Drosophila melanogaster: one gene and its partners. The protein of the gene in region 1 interacts with the protein of each later gene in a pairwise test. Each region holds a gene or a part of one and is shown in the gene's direction. Other genes may lie near its edges. The genes, in order: sosie, CG7886 and BI-1.

Evidence for each region.
Region 2: the proteins of sosie (region 1) and CG7886 interact in a two-hybrid assay, tested with the Drosophila melanogaster proteins (one large-scale study listed by BioGRID).
Region 3: the proteins of sosie (region 1) and BI-1 interact in a two-hybrid assay, tested with the Drosophila melanogaster proteins (one large-scale study listed by BioGRID).

What each region holds. Positions count from the first base shown.
Region 1 is NT_033777.3:24,832,794-24,839,831, forward strand, and holds the start of sosie (sosie), read left to right. Parts: upstream 1-3,887; 5' UTR 3,888-4,279; coding exon 4,280-4,424; intron 4,425-5,257; coding exon 5,258-5,404; intron 5,405-6,519; coding exon 6,520-6,696; intron 6,697-6,818; coding exon 6,819-6,910; 3' UTR 6,911-7,038.
Region 2 is NT_033777.3:14,639,412-14,646,449, reverse strand, and holds the start of CG7886 (uncharacterized protein), read left to right. Parts: upstream 1-3,886; 5' UTR 3,887-4,214; intron 4,215-4,291; 5' UTR 4,292-4,430; intron 4,431-4,487; 5' UTR 4,488-4,570; intron 4,571-4,673; exon of another isoform or gene 4,674-4,837; coding exon of another isoform or gene 4,838-5,036; intron 5,037-5,102; coding exon of another isoform or gene 5,103-5,247; intron 5,248-5,306; coding exon of another isoform or gene 5,307-5,701; intron 5,702-5,761; coding exon of another isoform or gene 5,762-6,828; intron 6,829-6,913; coding exon of another isoform or gene 6,914-7,038. Other genes in the region: l(3)L1231 (lethal (3) L1231), read left to right, coding at 1-930, 1,053-1,154, 1,262-1,515; Cad88C (cadherin 88C), read right to left, coding at 4,838-5,036, 5,103-5,247, 5,307-5,701, 5,762-6,828, 6,914-7,038. UniProt on the Drosophila melanogaster protein: May play a role in cilium biogenesis.
Region 3 is NT_037436.4:8,305,480-8,312,517, reverse strand, and holds BI-1 (Bax Inhibitor-1), read left to right. Parts: upstream 1-3,576; 5' UTR 3,577-3,754; coding exon 3,755-3,822; intron 3,823-3,972; coding exon 3,973-4,426; intron 4,427-4,553; coding exon 4,554-4,724; intron 4,725-4,785; coding exon of another isoform or gene 4,786-4,806; exon of another isoform or gene 4,807-4,925; intron 4,926-5,137; coding exon 5,138-5,182; 3' UTR 5,183-5,373; downstream 5,374-7,038. Other genes in the region: Cpsf6 (cleavage and polyadenylation specific factor 6), read left to right, coding at 1-234, 445-744, 803-871, 1,292-1,487; Gr66a (gustatory receptor 66a), read left to right, coding at 5,538-5,778, 5,840-7,038. UniProt on the Drosophila melanogaster protein: Suppressor of apoptosis. Modulates unfolded protein response signaling. Negatively regulates autophagy and autophagosome formation, especially during periods of nutrient deprivation, and reduces cell survival during starvation.

The sequences.
Region 1 (7,038 bases):
TCCGATGATGATGACGCCTTGGATAATGAGTTTTTGGCTTCGCCTTTAGATAGGTCACTGGAAACGTCATGTATTCATCGAAATTAAATGGGTAGACATTAAATTTACCAATTAATATTGTTGTGATCCTCCAATTGTATGGCCCTTTCGGTAGAGTTTCTGGTTAGGTTTCCCAGTTAATAGCCTCATAAAAGATATTTTACGATCCTTTAGTTCATATGCATTTAGAATGCTTTTGTCTGAAGCGGCGACCATTTTTGCAGTTATTGAATGAAATGCGGCTAAAAAATAATTGGATTGTGTTAGCGGTATGACTTTTTATTGTTTTTCTGATTGCCTTACGCTTATATAATTTTAACAATTTCTTATGTAGGCCAAACAGACCAACATTACTAGTTGAATATGGTATTAGAATGTATAAAATTCTATGACTTTAATGTAGATCGTGTACAACTGTTTACCATCCAAACGACACTAAATTCCTCGACATTTCTCAAAATGTTGCTATAATTATAATTCCTTTTGGGGATTAAGAACCTTATGACGTCCTAACCTGACCACGCATGAGTTATTAAAATAAGTTCGTGAGCACCAACATTTCGTAGGTATTTTTATGTTTTCACTAGCCTGGCGTCGCCTTTAGTCCTTTTAGCCAACATGACATGCGAATTGGCCAAGACGAAAGACCCCCAAAAGTGTCGCCCCATTGCTAAAATCAAGGTGTGCATTAACAAATGAACTTGAAATAATCGTTATACGACTGGCCACCCATATATTTAGCATGCATTTAGCTGCATTCAGCTAGCTGGCAATGTGGCAATGTGGCAATGTGTCGAGTGATAAATTGGGAAAGTCATGGAAAGGTTATTTGGTCAAGACTTGGCCAACAGACAAGGCTAAAACAAGTAACAGCGGCTATCGAAGAGCTCGCCTTGCGGCGCATGCAACATTCGGGGGCAGGAGCTGGCAGTCCTTTAAGGACTAAGCCATGTGGTGTGTGCATGTCCTGGAACGCACGAAAACAAACTTGCATGCAGTGAGTGAGGTAAGTGAGTGTGTGTGTGTAGCCGCAATTAGACGTGGCCATAATGTGGAATTAAGTCCCTTAAATTGGCATTTTTTCGAGGGCCTAATGCTCCGCACTCTGAGTTATAATCAGCAGTAATATGATGACCTCTGGGCATGAGTGTACAGCTCGATGAGATTTCGTGAGAAAATTATATATCGCTGGTAGAAATTCTACAGTCGCACTAATTAATCATCAGTTAAGAGCAAAAACATGACGCCCAAATTGTTGAAAGCGAATTAGTTCTTTAATTACGGTGGTCTTTCGCATTTTCCTTGGAGAGGGGAGGGGGAAAACCCACTGGCGGCGCCTACGATTCGCTGCAGTTTCTGATTTGGCGAAAAGATTTCGTGAGTTTTCCATATAATTTTCCTGCTTGTTTTCCGTTTCTCTGCTGTGCCCGGCAACATTTATCAATAATGTCAAGAAATAAATATCCGAAATAAATTTCAGACTCTGCCGCATGGCGAATTGAATGGACTGGACTGGCTGAATAATAATTAAAGGAACTTATTTTTACATGTAAATATAAATATTTTCCATTCCGAATGACGCGGTGCGGCGGGATTTGCGTAAATGGAGAAAGTACTATGGAATAAATCATTGTCAAGTCGGCAAATCTAGAAAAACAATTACGAAATCCAATATAATTAGTGCCTTTTAACTTATTTAAATAATTTTAAGTACATCCAATTCTTTAAAATGACCCACGTGTCTTATAAATCTCTTCAATATCGCTCAAAATAATTTTTTTACCTTTTACAATTTTTGAAGAAAATCATAAAAATTTTCTAATATAAGTTAAGCAAACAGAGATATTAGGATATCTGAAATATATTTTCCAAAATTGGCTTAATGCTTTCCACGGTCCTTGAACCCGACCAGATTCGTGTCCCATTTAGTTATATCCACCGATTTTCGTGAATATATTTTCTGGACTTCCTTTCCGTTCGCTGTGCGTGTGCGATATAAATTCGCATTTAGTTGGAGAAAATTGTTTATGCTGTCGCAGCGATTAAAGCAATCGTTTATAAGGCGATCGAGAAGGCAGATAAGGAGCACCAGGACCCATATAGCCTGACATTTTCCACAATCGGAGTCGGAAGAGGGTCGAAAGTACATGAAGTGCAAAGGAATTTGTGTTTGGCAAATTGGGCGAGTTCTTCATGTCCCAACTGACCTCAAAGTGTTCCTCTTCGAATGGGTGGGTGTAAATTATTGGCTCAGTTTGAAAAGTGGAGCTTCGTATATTTAGACGATTGAAGCAGACATGGCCAAAAGTTGGGCATCCGTTTCTGCCTGTTCGATATCCGCCTAAATGGTGCCTTGCCAAATTGGGCTAAAGGGGCGTGGCCAGTCACCTTTCTTTTTTGGACAGCTTAGCTGCATTCTGCAGCTGAAAGTTAAAAAAGTTAAAAGTTGAAAGCAACAAGCAAGCCACTCTCATCTGGGCAATTTAGCAAATGTAATTAGGGCCATGCAGCGCCCAAAAGTAAAAAAAGGGGGAAAAAATAATCATAAACAACGGCAGGAGAAATTAGGGAGCGAGCAAAGAATAATGGCCAAAATAACTATTTGCCTTTGACTAACCAGTTTCTGTTGTTGTTTCGCCTGGTGCGTGCTAATGTTACACTTTATTGTTGTTGTGGCTGTTGCTCAACTCCGTGGGCCCCAAAAAGTAGGCTATGCAATGGTCGTATGCCTCTAATGCCTTCGTCATTATTATAGTTCCCACACACACACCCACTGCCACACACACACACCCAAGACGAGGACGAGGAGAAAAGGACGAGGTCGCCACCGCCAGCGGCTACAATAAAAACAGGTGCACGAAGGTGAGGCAGCTACAAAAATCCATCTTCGTTAACAAAACTCGCTCACGAAATACACAAAAGCAGCGAAACAGTTACAAGTGCGTCGCAGCTCACTTTCCATACACCATATAGCATATACCATATAGCATACGGCCCAAAACTAATCCCATACTGCCTGCGAAAGTTTCGAAATCTGCCCGGAGATTCCATGCTATCTAGCTTCTTGTCAGCGAAACATTGGTTAGGTGGAATACCCTTTGCCCACTTGGGGGATCTCTTAATTATGCATGCGGGTGTCTGTCCTTCTGGAATCCGATTTTATGGAATGTCCCGGAATGCGTGAATTCATTTCTACTCAGCCGCAATTGGTTGGACGTATGTATACTTGGTTGCCTACATCTAAAATTAATGTTTTATCATTTTGTGGGAAGCTCATTGCTGCCAATTTTTGTGTGCGTCAGCAGAATCGTTTCCCATAACGCATAAAAACCTGTATTGTTTAACTTGATATTCAGTTGTATATATTTTACCATATATATTATGAGTTATTTTTTTAAGAATGAAATATGAAGCTGTTGTTTTTAACAAACCAGAACTTCACTTCCAATTGTAGAGTATAGACTTCTGTTAAAATTACACATGTAACATAAGTACATAACTATATGGTATCTCAACTTCCAATTTACTAAAATAAATACAAGTATATTATGTATTGTTATTATACAAAGTATTAAAGAAGATTTGCTGAGTGGGAACTTAAGTATGATATAAGGGTATCTGGAAGACGACTATCATTCGCCGCCAATGTGGCAAAGGGGTTCTATGCCTGGCTGAGCAGGTGAGCGGACTGCGGGGGCGGTGGGTGGCTAGCTGGCGAGGAGCACTCAGATGGGTAGCAGATGGTGGCAGGTGGGAGGTGGAAGGTGGCGCCGGTGTGCGCGAGCGCCAAGTAGCCACCAGCAGCGACATCGCAGCAACTTAAGGTCCGTGTGCGCCGCGAATTCTTCACTTGCATTTCGAGCGCGCAGGCGACTGGTTGGAGCTACCCGTCCGAAGACCCCAAGTGGAAGTTGCGACTATAGCGAGTGCCCCAAAGTATTGGAGATTTTTTGGAGTGACGCCTCTCGTGCGGTTTTGTTTTGCTTCGGACTTTCTGGCGGAGCGGAAACGATTTCGGTGTGAAAATTTGCATAAAATTGTGCCCGCGAAACCGACATAGAAACGAAAAAAGCGTTAAGTAAACCAATTTAAAGCCTTTGGGCCGTTTTTCAAGCTCGCAAAGTGCGTGTGCAACCCGTTGCGGTCCTGTGGAATTTATATAAGACCCGAAAAAGGACTTCTTTCCGACTTCTTCAAGTCCTGGTCTCGACTCAAAACTCGATTAGTTACCGATTCCAAAATGCAGCCCCTGAAGCGCTTCACACAATGCGGCAGTCTGACCATGCTCTTCGGCATCTTCATCATCCTCTTCGGGGTCAGCTCCACGGCTCTGACCACTTTTGGCAAGACCAACAATCAGCCGCCTCCCACGCACGTCCCAATTGGTAAGAGAACCCCCGGGGTTGGTAACGAAAAGGCCCATCAAAGTCGCTGGCAAGGTCAAGAGGAGTTTCTTGTCAAGATTGGGCGAGGGATTAAAAGTGGTTCGAGTTTAAAAGTAATCGTGCAGTAATTTTGCTATAACTCGTACTCCAGCATTAGCCGATAAGTGAATATGACTACTATTACTATAACAATATTCATATAAGATTATTCTTTAAGAAAAATACCAAACAAAGAGATACATTAACTTCTGTTTTAAAAAACTGATTTTGAGTTAGAAGTTAACTATTTTAATGCACTTAACTTGACTCTCATTATAATGTGATATATACGTTGTCTTAGACCTTCCCGATAAAGCCCCACATCACTTAAGTTCGATTAACCGCTAATTAAGACACCTGGTCGTTAGCCAAACAAATAGCCAACCATCCAGTTTGTCTGATCCAATCATTTGTCATTCGATTGACTTGGTAGTCGCTCATAAATAAATGGAATAATAATTATGGCACAGAGCCAGCACAGATTGAACGACACGACACAGAACACAGAACATTGCTAACACAAATCGAATCGAGAATTGATCAAACAAGTCACTCAAGTGCAATGACAACCCACGCTCCACGAATCCCTGACATTAGGAGCGGGGGCGGTAATATCCCTGTGATTGGAGTTGGTAAACCGAAACGGATAGAGTAGATATAGATAGGCGGACAAGCGGTGATTTGTGTTGGCTCAAGTTGGTACCCAAATAATCACACAATTAGTGGGCAATTAGCTAGGCAAACTGGCTAGTTAAGTGTCCTTTTTTAACTTGGATTCCTATCATTAATTGCAGTTAAAGGACGAGAGTGCAGTGCCCACGATGATTGCACGGCGATAGATCGCACCAGCTGCGTCAAGGATCCCAATGACTACAAGCTGCGTTGCCTATGCGGCGACGACTCGCCTCCTTCGGCTGGCAGCTGTCCAGATGTCCTGAAAGGTAATGTATCACCTATATAGAAAAGTACTTACCCATATTCCCCAAGGATATAAATATACAAGTTGTAATCTAGAGAAACCACTGACACTTAAACAGCATTCCTAAAAATAAATTTTTCGCGGCTGATATGCTTTAGTTACTAGTCAGTTAGTTACTATTTATTTATGTTAAAAAAATTAAAAAATCATTGATGTTAAATATTAATCATAATGTTCTGTATCTCCGCTCCTTTGACCGCCCGCCTTTGCAGAATCCTTTAGCTCGTTTCCCGAAATAGAACAGCCAACAAAAAGTCAGCTAATTGCTAAGACATGCACATTACATTTATTATTTAAGAGGCCGCTGCTTTCTTGGAGGCCTCCTCCGTGATGAGCCAGTGCCTCAAGTGGCATGTGAGGTGATGCGTCCAAGGCGCCACCTAAATGAGAATTAAACAAAGAAGCATCCTTCCAGAATGGCCACCCCCAAAGCCCACTTTCACCTTTCTTCGCTATTTGCCTGCTTATTTATTTAGTTTTCCGTGCGCGATTCACACTTGCCTTCTCGGCATCCTTGGGTCATGTGCCCGCCATTGTTGGCCCTACAGTCCCTTGGTTCTTTGGTCCTTTGGTCTTGGGTCCTCTAGTTTCCCAGTTCTCCAGCCCTCCTCCAGCTCCACTCCAGTTCTTGGCGGGGCCAGAGGTGGACCGCTTTATGGCGGCGCAATGTCGATGTCGGATTTATGTTAGGATGTCGTGACTCCTCCGATGGGGCAACTCAAACGAGGCCCCAAACGAGAGGCAAATGGTAATGGGAATCGCCGCAGTGCCAATTTGTGACATGCACAGCCCAGAAGAAATGTTATACGCGATTTTTGCATGCACGTTTCCCCAGTTTTTGGCATTGGGAGTTGTTCTCCGTGTTGGAGATCTACTTTCTGGCGGGGATACATTGTAATACACCAGAGTATAGAATTTCCAGACTATTATAGGTCTGCATAATAGCGTTATTATAATAAAATGGCTGCTAAATGATACCGGTGTATTGAGTCGGTTTAAATTTAGTTATAAGCATGGAGTATAGCTAATTCCACTGGCGGTATGCTAATATCTTAATAATATTTGCGCATTTTGCAGGCCTGCGTCACAAGTGCAACAGCAACAACGACTGCGAGGATGGAATGGTGTGCCAGTACGAGAACAGCAACCGCACCATCGGAGTGGCCAAGTTCATGTCCAGCAAGACCAAGCTGTGTCTCTGCGACAACGACAACGGATATGTGGAGGACATCCTGCACGACATCTGCAGTGGAGGTGAGAGGTTTCTCATCCAATACATTCCATAACTATTATAACTATTGTCATAGTATTACAAATATAGTACACACAAAAATAGGATGTATCATGGTTCCTAATCCATCTTCTTTGCCTTTCAGCTAATCTTCAGGGCCTGGTCAGCTTCTTGGTCTCGATCTGCTCACTTCTGGCGCCCTTTTTGGTATCCGCCCACATGCGAAAGCATTTCTAGAAGGCGATCGTCGAAAGCGGAACCGGAAGACGTAGTTTGGCGTTTATCTACCCCAGTGATCCATCAAATGTGCCTCAGTGAAACCAACAGAAACAAAAGATCATCCTACCCCTACCACTAACCCCTCA
Region 2 (7,038 bases), about 10 Mb from region 1:
TGGATGGAGCCCGTCCAGCATCGAAACAGCCGCCCGTTAGTTTACCAGTCGCTGGAGTGGCGACTCTTTATGTGCCTGTGAAGCAGCAGCGAAAGCGCAAGGCTAATACGAATGCCGTGGCTCGTCCTCAGAAACGTGGTAGGAAGCCGGCGAATGAACCGATTGCTAACCAGATCAGCAGCCAGATAAACAAACTGATACCTGGGGCAGGAATGCAGCGTAAAAGCAGCACCACATCGCTTGAGTCCATTGCCAGTAATTCGCAATCGTCGGCCACCTCACACTCACAGCCGCCTTACAAGCCCGGAAATGTGTTGGCCGCTGTACCTGCAGCACAGAACTTGTCCCAACGGTCCATTCCTCCAGCGCTGGCTCCGCTCAGCAGTGATTTTCAACCCAACCATCAGCAGCAGGAACCGCTTTTGGTTCCCAAGTTGGAGGTGGATTCATTGTTTAAATTTGATGCCGATCAACAGCAAAATCAGCAGCAGCAATCGACTTTGGACCCCAGCTTACTTTCTTTGGACATTGCGAATATCAAGGCCGAGGAGATTAGCCAAATTGTAGCACAATTGGCGGCGGCCGGTGGTGATTTACAAAATCCCAACAATAATAATAACAACAACATAGGAATCCATAATAACAATAGCGTGCACTTCAACAACAACAACAACAATAGTATGAACTACAGCAACAATAACAATAACAGTTTCCCCTCATTCAACACGGCCTTTGGCAACGCCATGGGCCAGCCAAGCAACACAATTACGCACAATGGCCACGCTGTTCCGGCAGTGCTGGCCAATACGGCCGATCTTCTTGGCCAGGACATGTTTGGTATTTGCGAGAACAGCTCGGCATACGCCAGTTCCGAGGATACCGGATTGGGCGGTCTCAGCGAGTCGGAGCTGATAGGCACTAACGATGCTGGTAAGTTTCAAAACGGTGAAACTTTTATGACTTCCATATAATAGCTATGTATATATAGAAGGAAGCTGGACAAATTCCCTAAGATTTTTTCAGTATTTTGACACGTTATTTCTCTCTTCCAGATGATATAGCATTGAATGGCGCCCACTTGCTGGAGGAGCACGATCTGGTAAATGTGTTCGACACGCTGTCAGACGATGCCTTCAACGAGCTGTTCCAATCCGGTGTGTATTTAACCACAATTTTACTTGTTCAGCTTTTCATTGTACTAATCCATGTGTGCCTTCGCTGCCAACGCCACCGCCATCGCCTTGGACCTGTGCCTATGCAGTGCAACAAGCCGAGTGCGAGGCTATGGACCGGGCTTTGGACCGGGCCTTACAGCAGACAATGGGCGGCTCGGCGGACAGCGCCTTTCTTAACGATTTCCTGGACGTCGGCGACGATCTGCTGGCCGATGCTGTGATGCACTCACCAAACACGTCCGGCATCGATGCTCCTCCCCTCTTTGGGGACAGCAGCAGCGGCGGTGGCAATAGCAGCAGCAACGGCGCCTCCGACATCCGGGGCTTGGTGCAGACCTAATTCCGGCATCAGGTCGGATTTATGGCCTACAGAATTTACAGATTCATTTAGAGAGACAGAGAGAGAGATTTTCAAGCTTGATTTCCCATTCACTTTTAGGCAGTTTTCGCTTAGAATTTCGGTATTTTCTTTTTGGCCATTTCTTACCTGCGATTCTAGTTTGGCACAATGTTTCTATATGCAGCTTCAATGTTATGCATGCATTCACCAGCAGATATGCATGAATAAAATAGCATTCAAAAACCATATAGTTATGCGTTAATGTGAAAAACAAAAAAAAAAACACACACAAAAAGTAAAAAATTTGAAAAAATGTCCAAAAATATTAAATTCAACTTTAAATCAACATTAAGAATGAAATGTATATGTATCCGTACGCAAAAACATAATATTGTAAATTCGCGGAGAGGTGTAGCTTTACGTACATCTTAACGTAACTTAATTTGTTAGTGAACCAACAAAAGGATTGTAGAGATCAGCTTTATTATACATATAAACGAGAAATTATAAAACAATACCAGAGCAAACAGATAAAATGAAACCGAAATTGTAGGAAATCTAGCAACAAATTTTGAATTCTGAATTAAAGTTACGAACGCGATACATTGGAAAGTTCGTTAACATAAACAAGCCTAAAATTTGTTTAAAAATTTTGTGAACGCATTTACAACAACAACCACAACACCATACACTCAAATGAGAATTGCAAGAACTACGAAAACAAAACAGGTGAAGCTGAAATTGTTTAGTTTGATTTTAGTTCTTGGTTTGCACCTAATACACATACACATACACACCCACACCTAAACACCAACACACATACATACAACGTACAAGGGACTAGTTTGAAACCGCGAATCGTATTACTAAATATATATACAACTATATATACTTATATATATAAAATATAGCTATATATACATAATACCACTTAATATATCTGTACACATACTTTTAAGTGTAAGCTTTAATTTAAACCAACCCACAAACAAAGAAAAGAAAACCCTATAACAAAAAAAAATTAACAGATTGTAAAAGTGTATACTTGATTTATTTTTAAGCTCTTTTATTTAGCCATTGCTCGATGGCCACAAACTTTGTTCGATTTTAATTAAGCCTAACAAATTTTAAAAGCAAAATTAGGCTGACCGACAATTTTTGAGTTTTAGCATGCGTTTGTCTATTCTAGATTATGTAAATTAACAAATATTATATAGAACATAAATGAATTGTAATTTTCTTTAGTCTAGTGACAAGCAGCAACTTATAAATCGAGATATATTTATACAACAATACACAAAACAAGCAAGAAAACTGTTACGCTTTAAAATACGATATATACCGCTCACTGGAGACCGATCCCCAAATCACAGCCCTCAAGAAAACAAAACAAAAAAATTCACACCCAAACCATTCCATCTCCATCCATTGTAAGTTTTCTCATTTCTCATCTGTCACGCGGAGTCTAAGCAAGTATTAAATGAATGAAAAACGTTTAATTACACTAGATAACTATGTATTTGTATATGTATCACGCATCGAATTTTCATTACGTTAATGCACCACCCATGGCACACTCAAACACTTGCATCTTTCATAGGAACTTTCGTTTGGGCATAGCGAAACGATAGAGCAGAAGGAACTACTTTAAAGATAATGGAACTCTGTAAAATATGATATATAATAATTCCCCCACACTCTCACTCTCTATCTCTAAAACCCTATATAGATATATTATATAAACGTATGAATTCGTTCTTGAGTTAGTTGATTACCGATTACCGGGTTCACTTGATTACCGATTGAGTTGGCCCGCACTTTACTCTGATCTACTTCGCTGTGCAAGTGACGCGAACAAAATTAATGTCCTTTTTGTAGCGAAACTACAAAACCATGTATTTGATTATATGCTTTAAACCCTATTTTTATAACACTTTAATTTGTAAGAACTGTAGCGATGAACCTACAACCCCGCATCCCTCCAGTAGCCGCCTCTTTTTCACCATTTGAAGTTTTGTCTGTTTTCGGTATGAGGTACAATTTCATTTTGTAATTTACGTGCATTTTTGTGATCTAATTTGTGTAACTATTATAAACGAAAAAAAAAAGAAATACAAAATACTTTAAGAAAACGAAGCAAAAAAAAAAAAAAATAAAACAAATCAAAGCAAATGAAAAAAAGAATTGATTGATTTTATGGCAACAGAATATTTTACCCTGAAAATATAATACAGTATTTTTAGTAAAAAAAAAAAACCAAAGCATCCTGGCTTGTCATTGATCAATGGGAAATCGGTATGGGGAACTGATGGCTGGGTATCGGGAATGGGAATCTCGGCAGGCGGTGACCAGATTTTCATAGACTCACATTCGTTTAACAACATAATTTTCTCCTAGGAAACAGTTAGTTTGCCTTGACACATACTCCGAGTAACTCCCGAAAACAAAATACAAAAAACATCAGCAGAACCGCCGAATTAAGAAACCCGCTAATCCTTCCCAGGATTCTTTCAGTGCGTTTCGTCGAGTTGTGGTCGAGGATTCAAATTCAAAGGTTATATTGAAAATTATTATTTTCTATTTTGTTTTCCTTGCTCGACCACCAACCCAATCGCATCTAATCGCAAGGAGCATTCAGTCCAGTGCAAAAGAGACAAAAACTGACCAGATCTGGTCCGGATTATCCCCGTTTTGCTAAGGTGAGTGAGTGCCATGTGGCGGCATTTCCTACTCTGGGTTGTCCGTATGCAGCGATTATTACATCATATCCTAGCAGGCGTGTCGTTTGCTGTCGGTTGTAATGCATACAAATGCCTATCTGAGCTGCCGTCTCCCCGATTAGTCACTTTTTTTGTACGTTTGTAAGCTGCCGCCAGTTTTCAGAGTGGCGCCACGGGGATACGTGGAATAGCGTGGTAAGTGGGCGCCACATGCTCCACCATCGACCCCACTAACCGACTCCTCACCACCAGTTGTGCTCTACGTATATTTTTATATCATCATTGCGGAACCACAAAGCTCTCGACTACTTTCTAACTGAGGAACTGAATCAAAGGTGAGTTCAATTCAGCATATTCTGTATATTTGCGCTATGACTCTTTCCCGCATAAATTGATTTAAATAATATGTAGTTATCACCGACAATTATTACTTTATTTGCTAATACAATTTCCTTAATTTGTACGAATGCGTATGTCGTAGGACATAGCAGGACTAAAACTGTGTTTTAAGCTTCGATATATTTACATGGTCCCTACAAGCTGAACTTAAGCTATCCTTAATCCAAGTGCCATAAATAAGAGGGGGGGGGGACTGTTTGGTGCTATAACTCCGTGGTCTCCAGTTTTCGGGCCAGGATCTGAGCATTGTTGGTCATTTTGTCGATTTGGTTGTATAGATTAAAGTGCCGATTAAGATCATTGCTGTTGTTGAATAGTTTGGCAGTTCCCTTGAGCGTTTCGTGCATATCCTGTGTGGCCACGGCCAGAAAGTTATCATCCAAAGAGTCATGGCCACCAATACTATGGAGAAATAAGTGTTATATATTTAAGTAAGGGACGATTTAGTGATTTCCTCTATTATCGCACCTGCCACTTTCTTCTGATTTGAACCACTCGTTGTCGTAACCCTTTAGCCAAATAGGATTTGATCCTTGGACACTGTGCTTGTTGGTATTTGGCACTCGAGTGGCCGGCTCCTGAGCGTCTTGCAGGGACATCGAGGAGTGACCACCTAAATGGAATTTGTGTATTAAATATATTAATTTATCTTTTATCCTAATCGTTACTTACGGAATATATTGACTTTAGCGGCTCTCAGCTGCCTGCGGTATCCATTCCGTTGAGAGGCGCAAAGTGCTATAGTGACTACCAGTAGAGTGGCCAGAAAGAGGTTGGTGAAAATCAGCCACACGAATAAAGGACCTCGGCTGGGTCCCGCGGTCAGGAGCTGAGCCTCTGCCGCCTGCGTGTCCAGCACGTTGAGCTCTTTAAATAGCCCATTCAGGCTTTCGATGTGCGAGTCAATCAGTTTGAGCACCTCGGATACCTCGTAGATTGAGTTATCCTCCCGCTCGACTAGATGCATGTACAGATCCGTCTTTGTCTTGTCCACCGAACCATCCTTGTTCTCATGAACCTTAATCTCATCAATGTTTACAATCGATTCTGTTATGTTGCTCAGGGTGCTAAGGTATGGAAATAACATTAGAAGGGGGGTTATACTTTAAAATCAACTCAATATTTACTCTCTGAAGGAGTCCACTCGAGATCGCAGTTCGTCCGGCTGAAGTCTAAACACGAATCGCACCTTTTGGTCCTCTCTTAACAAGTAGATAAACACATGGGCCACATCCTTCATTCCTGAGGTGTCGTTGGCCAAAACGACGAAATCGAAATAGCCCTTCATTCCCTTTTGTGGGTCAAAGTTTAGCTGCACTTCTCCGGTTTCCTGATCGAGAAGGAAGGGAGCTTTGCGTACGTTCTCCAATCCCTCGGAAAGAGTCTGTCGGATTTCACCCACTTGGTAGTATCCAATCCTTCCATTATCTCCTTCATCTGCATCCGTAGCCTCCACTCGCATGAATTTTAAACCGAAATCAGCATTGGTCGTTATACCACCAGTAAAGATTTTAGAACGGAATCTCGGTGGATTATCGTTGATGTCCAGCACGCGCACCTTTACTTTTATTACAGTGCTATCTAGTTCTGGATGGGTTGTTGCCAATCCTCCGGTTGGATCCTCCTGACTACTGTCATAGGCTTCATACGATAACAGCTCTGCATCTTCTGGTCCGTATTCATTACTCTCTGTCGATCTCAATTGTCGAGAGTGTTTGAAACGATCATATCCAAACTGTTGGTTATGCACAATGCCTCCCAATCTATTGTTAATCTCGATTCCCATACGACGACGTTTTTCGCCACCAGATATAGAATCATTTCTACAATTCTCAGTGGCACGAACATAGAGCGTAAAATTGGCAATCACCTCGCGATCCAGTTCACGGTCAACAGTCAATATATGGGTTTCGGGATCGAGACGAAAGTATCCCGCTTCGTTTCCATTCACTATAAAGTAGCACACCTGGCTGGGCGTATCATTCGGATCGTCCAGTTCCAACTGATCCTTATCTATGGTGTCCGGTAGCTTTATTCTTTCGGATCCTGGATCCGAGTGCTCCGTGAAGTTTACGGATATTTCGTTAACCATAAACTGAGGCTCATAATCGTTAACATTCCGAACATAAATCGTTAGATCCAAGTCTGAACTCAGTGAGGTTGGCAATCCCTGATCATAGGCTTCTATACGTATCTGTAATGAAAATTATATCATATAGTATATTCTTTTGTGTGTTTATACTTTAAAATTTGTAGGTATAAGGAGATTTGGCATTTACCTCGTGAATCTTCTGCTTTTCGCGGTTAAGTTGTTCCTTCAGAAAGAGCTCCCCTGTGCTGCCGTCTACTTCAAACATTTTGTAGCTGCCCAATGGATCGGGTTTGAGTCTGTATCTCACCAAAG
Region 3 (7,038 bases), on another chromosome or scaffold:
AGGTCCACAGCCAGGCATGAATATGCCACCGCAACAGGGCATGAACATGACGCCACAGCATGGACCGCCACCCCAGTTCGCCCAGCATGGACCACGTGGTCCGTGGCCGCCACCGCAGGGTAAGCCACCAGGTCCCTTCCCCGATCCGCAGCAGATGGGTCCGCAACTGACGGAGGTGGAGTTCGAGGAGGTGATGAGCAGAAATCGCACAGTCAGCAGTTCGGCGATCGCCAGGTGAGTGCAAAGGTTTTTAAAATGTTTTCTTTAACGAGGTCAAAACTTGTAGTTATTATTTAAAAACTAACCCATTCCTAAGTCGAATTCATAGAAAATTCCAATTATTGAAACTATGACTCAGATCCGGTCTAATTAATAAATTATCTAGATAATTAATTACTTTGTTGATCAAATATCAATTCCCTTTTTATGCTAATTTATTTTCAGAGCTGTTTCTGATGCAGCCGCTGGTGAATACTCGAGCGCCATCGAGACACTGGTCACAGCCATTTCACTGATCAAACAGTCCAAGGTAGCGCACGATGAGCGATGCAAAATTCTGATTAGCTCGCTGCAGGACACGTTGCATGGCATCGAGGCCAAGAGCTACAATAGGCGCGAAAGGTCGCGGTCGAGGGAGCGATCTCATCGCAGCCGACAGCGACGTGAGCGTTCCACGTCCAGGTACCGCGAGCGATCTCGGGAGCGGGAACGCGATCGGGATCGTGAGCGTGAACGGGATGGCGGGTAAGTTTTGGTTCTACCATGTGTAAGCCTCACACTTAATTCCGTATTCATTTTCTAGAAGCTACAGAGAGAGGTCTCGCAGTAGAGAACGTGAACGCCAGGCTCCAGATCACTACAGGGATGACAGGTAAAGACGTTCTACTTCTAAAAATTCGCTTCACTGTCTCATTTAAAAGTTGCTGATTAATTAATCATAGTGCTTCATTTAAATAGCATAGAACTCATAATTTATTCACTCGTAAACAGATTTTTTACTTTTGCTGTAAAAACAAGTGTAGATTTGTAAAGTCAGACGAAACTTTATTTTAAAATATTTGGAAAAATGTATAATTTATTAAAAGGTAGTATTTTTAAGGTATAGGCTTTTCAAATTTTTTATTTTCATTAAAAGCTTTCTGTAAAGATGTTAGCTTGAATTGTAACTGTTTAGGCTCATCAGAATATTTTTGCTCTTTTGTGCAACAATATACGGTGACAATTAAGCGAATTATTTTTAAGCTCGAAATGAAAACCTTGCGTTAATTTCAATCCCATAATCCGAAAACAGCCGATCGGTGCGTCCACGAAAGTCGCCGGAACCCGTAGTCGCCGAAGCAGCGGAGGCGCCATCATCGAAGCGCTACTACGAGGATCGGGAAAGGTACCGCTCCTCGGACCGTGAGCGACGCGACCGCGATCGAGACCGCGACCGCGAGCGGGAGCGTGATCGCGACAGGCGTGAGGAGCACCGTTCCCGGCATTGACTGCCGTAAGTGGAAGTTGGAACCATCGCCAGTGGACCCGTAATCAAGTGTAAAGATGCAACACAGATATACTAAACACACTCTATTAACAAACAATAAGCCGCAGCTTGGTGGGATGACAAGCTAGCCACAATTAACAGATTTTCGATTTGTATCTAACATTACCAATACGTAGGATATGAATATGGCAAACAGCATAGTTCTTCTAGACATACTATAATAAGCCGAAATGCTGACAAGATTTTACCAACGACGGACGGGGACTGCCTCTGGATCCATCCAACTTCACATCACAGAATCCTGGCAACATCAAGACCGGCAGACCGAAGTCAGCAGCAGTAGCAGGAGGATCGATGGAGAAGCCAAGGGGACAGTCAGCGTGGGACATTATAGACACTGATGCGCACTGGATCATCAAACAACAAACAACTAGCATTCCTGCACCGCCGTCTTCGCAGCAGAATTTCAATATTATTGTACTCTAAAATTTCGGTTTATTTAATAAAACATAAACGTATGAAAAAAAGAATTGTTCCAGAAAAAACCTTTACCAAAACTGTCTTGTATTGTGTGTCTTCTTGTACTCTTATTATATAAAAAAAAAAACATCTTATTAGTTAATGACTTTATAATTGTACAACAAAATTGTATGTAAAAATTACAAAATTATTGCACTTGTGCGTGCAATTAATATGGAAATTGTTATATTAACAAAATCATTTTGCCGACTGAGGCCGAAAATCGTTATCCCTAATGTATTTTCAAATATTTCGCGATCTTTTGTTGTAAACATTCTCCACGCATTTGTTTAATCTTGTTTTTATTTAACAATTAAACTTAAGTCGATCATAATTGTGTGCTTGAGACTGAGTGTGAGTGAATTTTTGTAGCATTCAAATGCCGACTGAATCCATCCGCATAAACGGATGGAGAAAACCATATGTTTGTATAGAATAAGTCGAGTGTGTGCTTTTAGCCCAAATACCATGATTTTTAGACTAAATTACTCTAAAAGAGAAACGTCCCAATCGCATTTATCGTAGTTAACTATACTAACGTTACAAGCTGATGTAGTTCCTAACATAGGTTCCAAGAAAAGAACAAAGTCATTCAGTTCCCCCCGAGATACTGTACTACTCGCGGCTCATTTTACACAACTTAGGCCTCCAATTGTATCATCTACATTTTACTTTTTTAAATTCTAGCTTTACTTTTAATTTGTATATACATTTTGTAAACGATACTCGACTAAGATCATGTCCCACTAATCCCGAATTGCAATTACACCTTGTTAAATCAAGTCTACGATTTGAAAAGTACCTGTAACTCTCCGCAGAGCGAGAGCCTAGAGGTGTTAAGAGTATTATGAGCTTAACGATGTCTTGTACAATTTATACTGTGATTGTGATCTCGATGAAACAAACTACATATGAATTTATACAAACCATTACTGTCTGTTAAGTCATGCCAAAGCAGGTAATGTTGTCCCATTCTTCTGGGACCCTATATATACACTATAGAATTTTTAGAGTTTTCTTGTTTTATGGACAAGTAACAGCACCTAGTCGCCCAATTTGCCATAGTTTATTATTTACCATGTACAATGTTTTTAGAAAATACGCCAATTACCTTGTTTTTGGATCTAGCGCGAAATAAAAAAAACATTTACTAGTCGTTTCGAACTTCGTTGCTTTTCAAATGGAAAGTAGGCAGCGCGCGCAACCGAAAAACACGTCATAGAATCATCTGGAAGTTCGAAAAATGTCCGTTTACCCAACACTGACTCAGGTGGGCAATTGTCGAAAACACCACCTTATCAACAGTGCTGACGGTGTTCTAGTTTTGAAAAAAAAAAGGCTGGTATAAAATCCAAAAGATTTATACAAAATTGAACTGGAGTATTATTTATTTATTCAATTAACAGGATTATATGTTAAACTTAATTTATAGTATGTTGTACAAGTATTTATGTGTATACGGTGAGTTTAATAATGAATACGAGCATAAAGTTCAAATCTAAATGTAGCTGTAAAAAGACCACGTCGTCAGCACTAACCTATAGCAACTTATCCAACACTAAAAGCTGATAAAACAGATTTCGTGAAATACAGAAAGAAAAGGCAAGAAAATAGAGCCGAGTAGGCCTTACAAAGTAAACAGTCAGTTTTAAAACATCAGTGCAAACAGTTCTAATTCACTCCTCCGTTTGACAAACTTATGTGTAATATTACTGGAAACTAGCAAGAGCAAGTGCGAAAAAGACTACAATGGCAGATACTGCGAATTACATCAACGACCGTTTCCAGACCTTCATGAACGGGCTCGGTGACCGTTAGTAAGTATTACATGCCGATGGGTCACCCCCTTAGAGGTTGGGGTCCAAGTGCGTTGCACTGACGTGTTGTTTTGGTATCCAACCACATCAACAGTTGTCCATCGGATCGATGGACCTTGAAACTAATAGTCCTCCTTTTATTTCCTTCAGTGAGCCCTATGTGCGCGAGCACCTGTCTAAGGTTTACATGGTCCTGGGCAGCACTGCCGCTGCCACGGCCATGGGAGCCATGCTTCAGATGCGTGACTTTCTCGATCTTGGAGTCCTGGCGGCGGTGGCCACTCTAGTCCTGGTCTTGGGTCTGCACTTCTACAAGGATGACGGCAAGAACTATTATACACGTTTGGGCATGCTCTACGCCTTCGGATTCTGCTCCGGCCAGACGCTCGGACCGCTCCTCGGCTATATATGCAGCATAAATCCGGCAATAATCCTGTCTGCCCTTACGGGCACCTTCGTCACCTTCATCTCGCTCTCCTTGTCCGCCCTTCTGGCCGAGCAGGGCAAGTACCTCTATCTGGGTGGGATGCTGGTTAGCGTCATCAACACCATGGCGCTGCTGAGTCTCTTTAACATGGTCTTCAAGTCCTACTTCGTGCAAGTGGTGAGTGCCCATTAATTTGCGTATTAATTTGTATCCTCTAAATCTAATTTCTAATTTCCATTCCAAGGCATTGAAAACTGAATATTTCATAATTGTAATACTTAACAAATTCTTATTTTCCTTATAGACTCAACTTTACGTCGGCGTTTTCGTTATGGCTGCCTTCATCGTCTACGATACACAGAACATTGTGGAGAAGTGCCGAAACGGAAATCGAGATGTGGTGCAGCACGCTTTAGATTTGTTCTTCGATGTACTCAGCATGTTCCGCCGTTTGCTGATTATACTGACGCAAAAGGTATGTTTCCGCGACAAGGGTTTATCCCAACGATCAGTTGTTATATAGCCCCCTTACCCAGCTCAAGACCTTCATGGTTTAAGATAGCTCAAGCCGGAGCCAGTTGCCCAAAATAGCTCAATCAGATTATCCTCGAAAACATGCTGATCACTTTGCAAAAGCTTCCAGTATAAAATTCGATGTGAAAAACCATTTTAAACGGTATTTCCTGCAGCCAAGGCAATAAGTGTACTTTCACAGTCAGGCTAGGATCCTTAGGTCTATATAAACCACTTGTGGGAAGTATATTTATTTCCAAAAACTGCCAATGAAACTTTTTGCAAAGTTCTCTAGCTGTTTGTGAAATTATATTTATGTCCTTTGCTTTTGCACCGTTTAAAGGCAATACCAGTAATGCTCTTAATTATTTGCAGGAGGAGCGAAAACAGAATGAACGCCGCCAGAACAAAACTAAATAAACTTTTATGTGTAACAGCCACCACAAGAAAAACATCTGACACGGATTTTGGAGGCAGATTTCTCATTCTAGAAAATTATTCGCATTGAATATTAATAATGCCGTGTACATTTGGCTTTAAATTTACAGACATATATATCCAATATAAAACCCATGAAATTTTTCCATTTAATAAACACCACAAGAAGTAAGCTCATCCGCGTTTCTTGTCCCAAACATGGCGCAGTAGATAGACCATGTTGATAGTATCGATTAGGGGCGGAGGGGTCAATTAATTAGGCTAAGTGCACTCTGCAGGTAATAACTTGATGTTAGTGGGAATCGGTTATTCAAAGCTGTAGTGTTCAATGGACAACATGGCGCAGGCGGAGGACGCAGTGCAACCACTATTGCAGCAGTTCCAGCAACTGTTCTTCATATCCAAGATAGCTGGAATTCTGCCACAGGATCTCGAGAAGTTTCGATCTAGGAATCTGCTGGAGAAATCCCGTAATGGCATGATTTACATGCTGAGTACTTTAATACTCTACGTTGTGCTCTATAATATTTTGATATATTCCTTTGGAGAGGAGGACCGCAGCCTAAAGGCCTCGCAGAGTCAGTTAACCATCCGCCTTGAAAGGTGCAAACTCATAACCATGTTATTCATTCTTCCCAGGCACCTTGACTTTCGTGATTGGCTTGTTCCTGACCTATATCGGTCTGATTATGATGGTCTCCGACCAGTTGACCGCGTTACGAAACCAGGGTAGAATTGGAGAGCTTTACGAGCGCATCCGTCTGGTGGATGAGCGCCTTTACAAAGAGGGGTGTGTTATGGACAACAGTACAATTGGACGGCGCATACGAATTATGCTGATCATGACGGTCATCTTTGAGTTGTCCATTTTGGTGAGCACCTATGTCAAGCTGGTGGACTATAGTCAATGGATGTCCTTGTTATGGATAGTGTCCGCCATTCCCACGTTCATCAACACGCTAGACAAGATCTGGTTCGCTGTTTCGTTATATGCGTTGAAAGAACGCTTCGAGGCCATAAACGCCACCCTAGAGGAACTGGTGGACACGCACGAGAAGCATAAGCTGTGGCTGCGAGGCAATCAAGAGGTTCCGCCTCCTCTGGACAGCTCCCAGCCGCCTCAGTATGACAGCAACCTGGAGTATCTGTACAAGGAACTAGGAGGTATGGACATAGGTTCCATTGGCAAGAGTTCAGTGTCTGGTTCGGGGAAAAACAAAGTAGCACCAGTGGCCCACTCCATGAACTCCTTTGGTGAAGCAATTGATGCGGCCAGCAGGAAGCCTCCACCGCCTCCCCTGGCCACTAACATGGTCCATGAAAGCGAGCTGGGAAATGCCGCTAAGGTAGAGGAGAAACTAAACAACCTGTGCCAGGTGCACGACGAGATCTGTGAAATCGGAAAAGCTTTGAACGAGCTGTGGAGCTATCCCATTCTATCTCTAATGGCCTATGGTTTTCTGATTTTCACTGCTCAACTTTATTTCCTCTACTGCGCTACACAGTACCAATCGATACCATCGCTTTTCCGTTCCGCCAAGAATCCCTTCATCACTGTTATAGTTCTAAGTTATACGTCTGGAAAATGCGTGTACCTCATCTACCTGAGTTGGAAAACGTCGCAGGCCTCCAAGCGCACAGGAATCAGTCTGCACAAATGTGGCGTGGTGGCCGATGATAATCTTCTCTACGAAATTGTTAACCACCTATCGCTAAAATTGCTCAACCACTCGGTGGACTTTTCGGCTTGCGGCTTCTTTACCCTGGACATGGAAACATTGTATGGTGTGAGTGGCGGGATCACTAGCTACCTGATCATCCTGATTCAGTTCAATTTG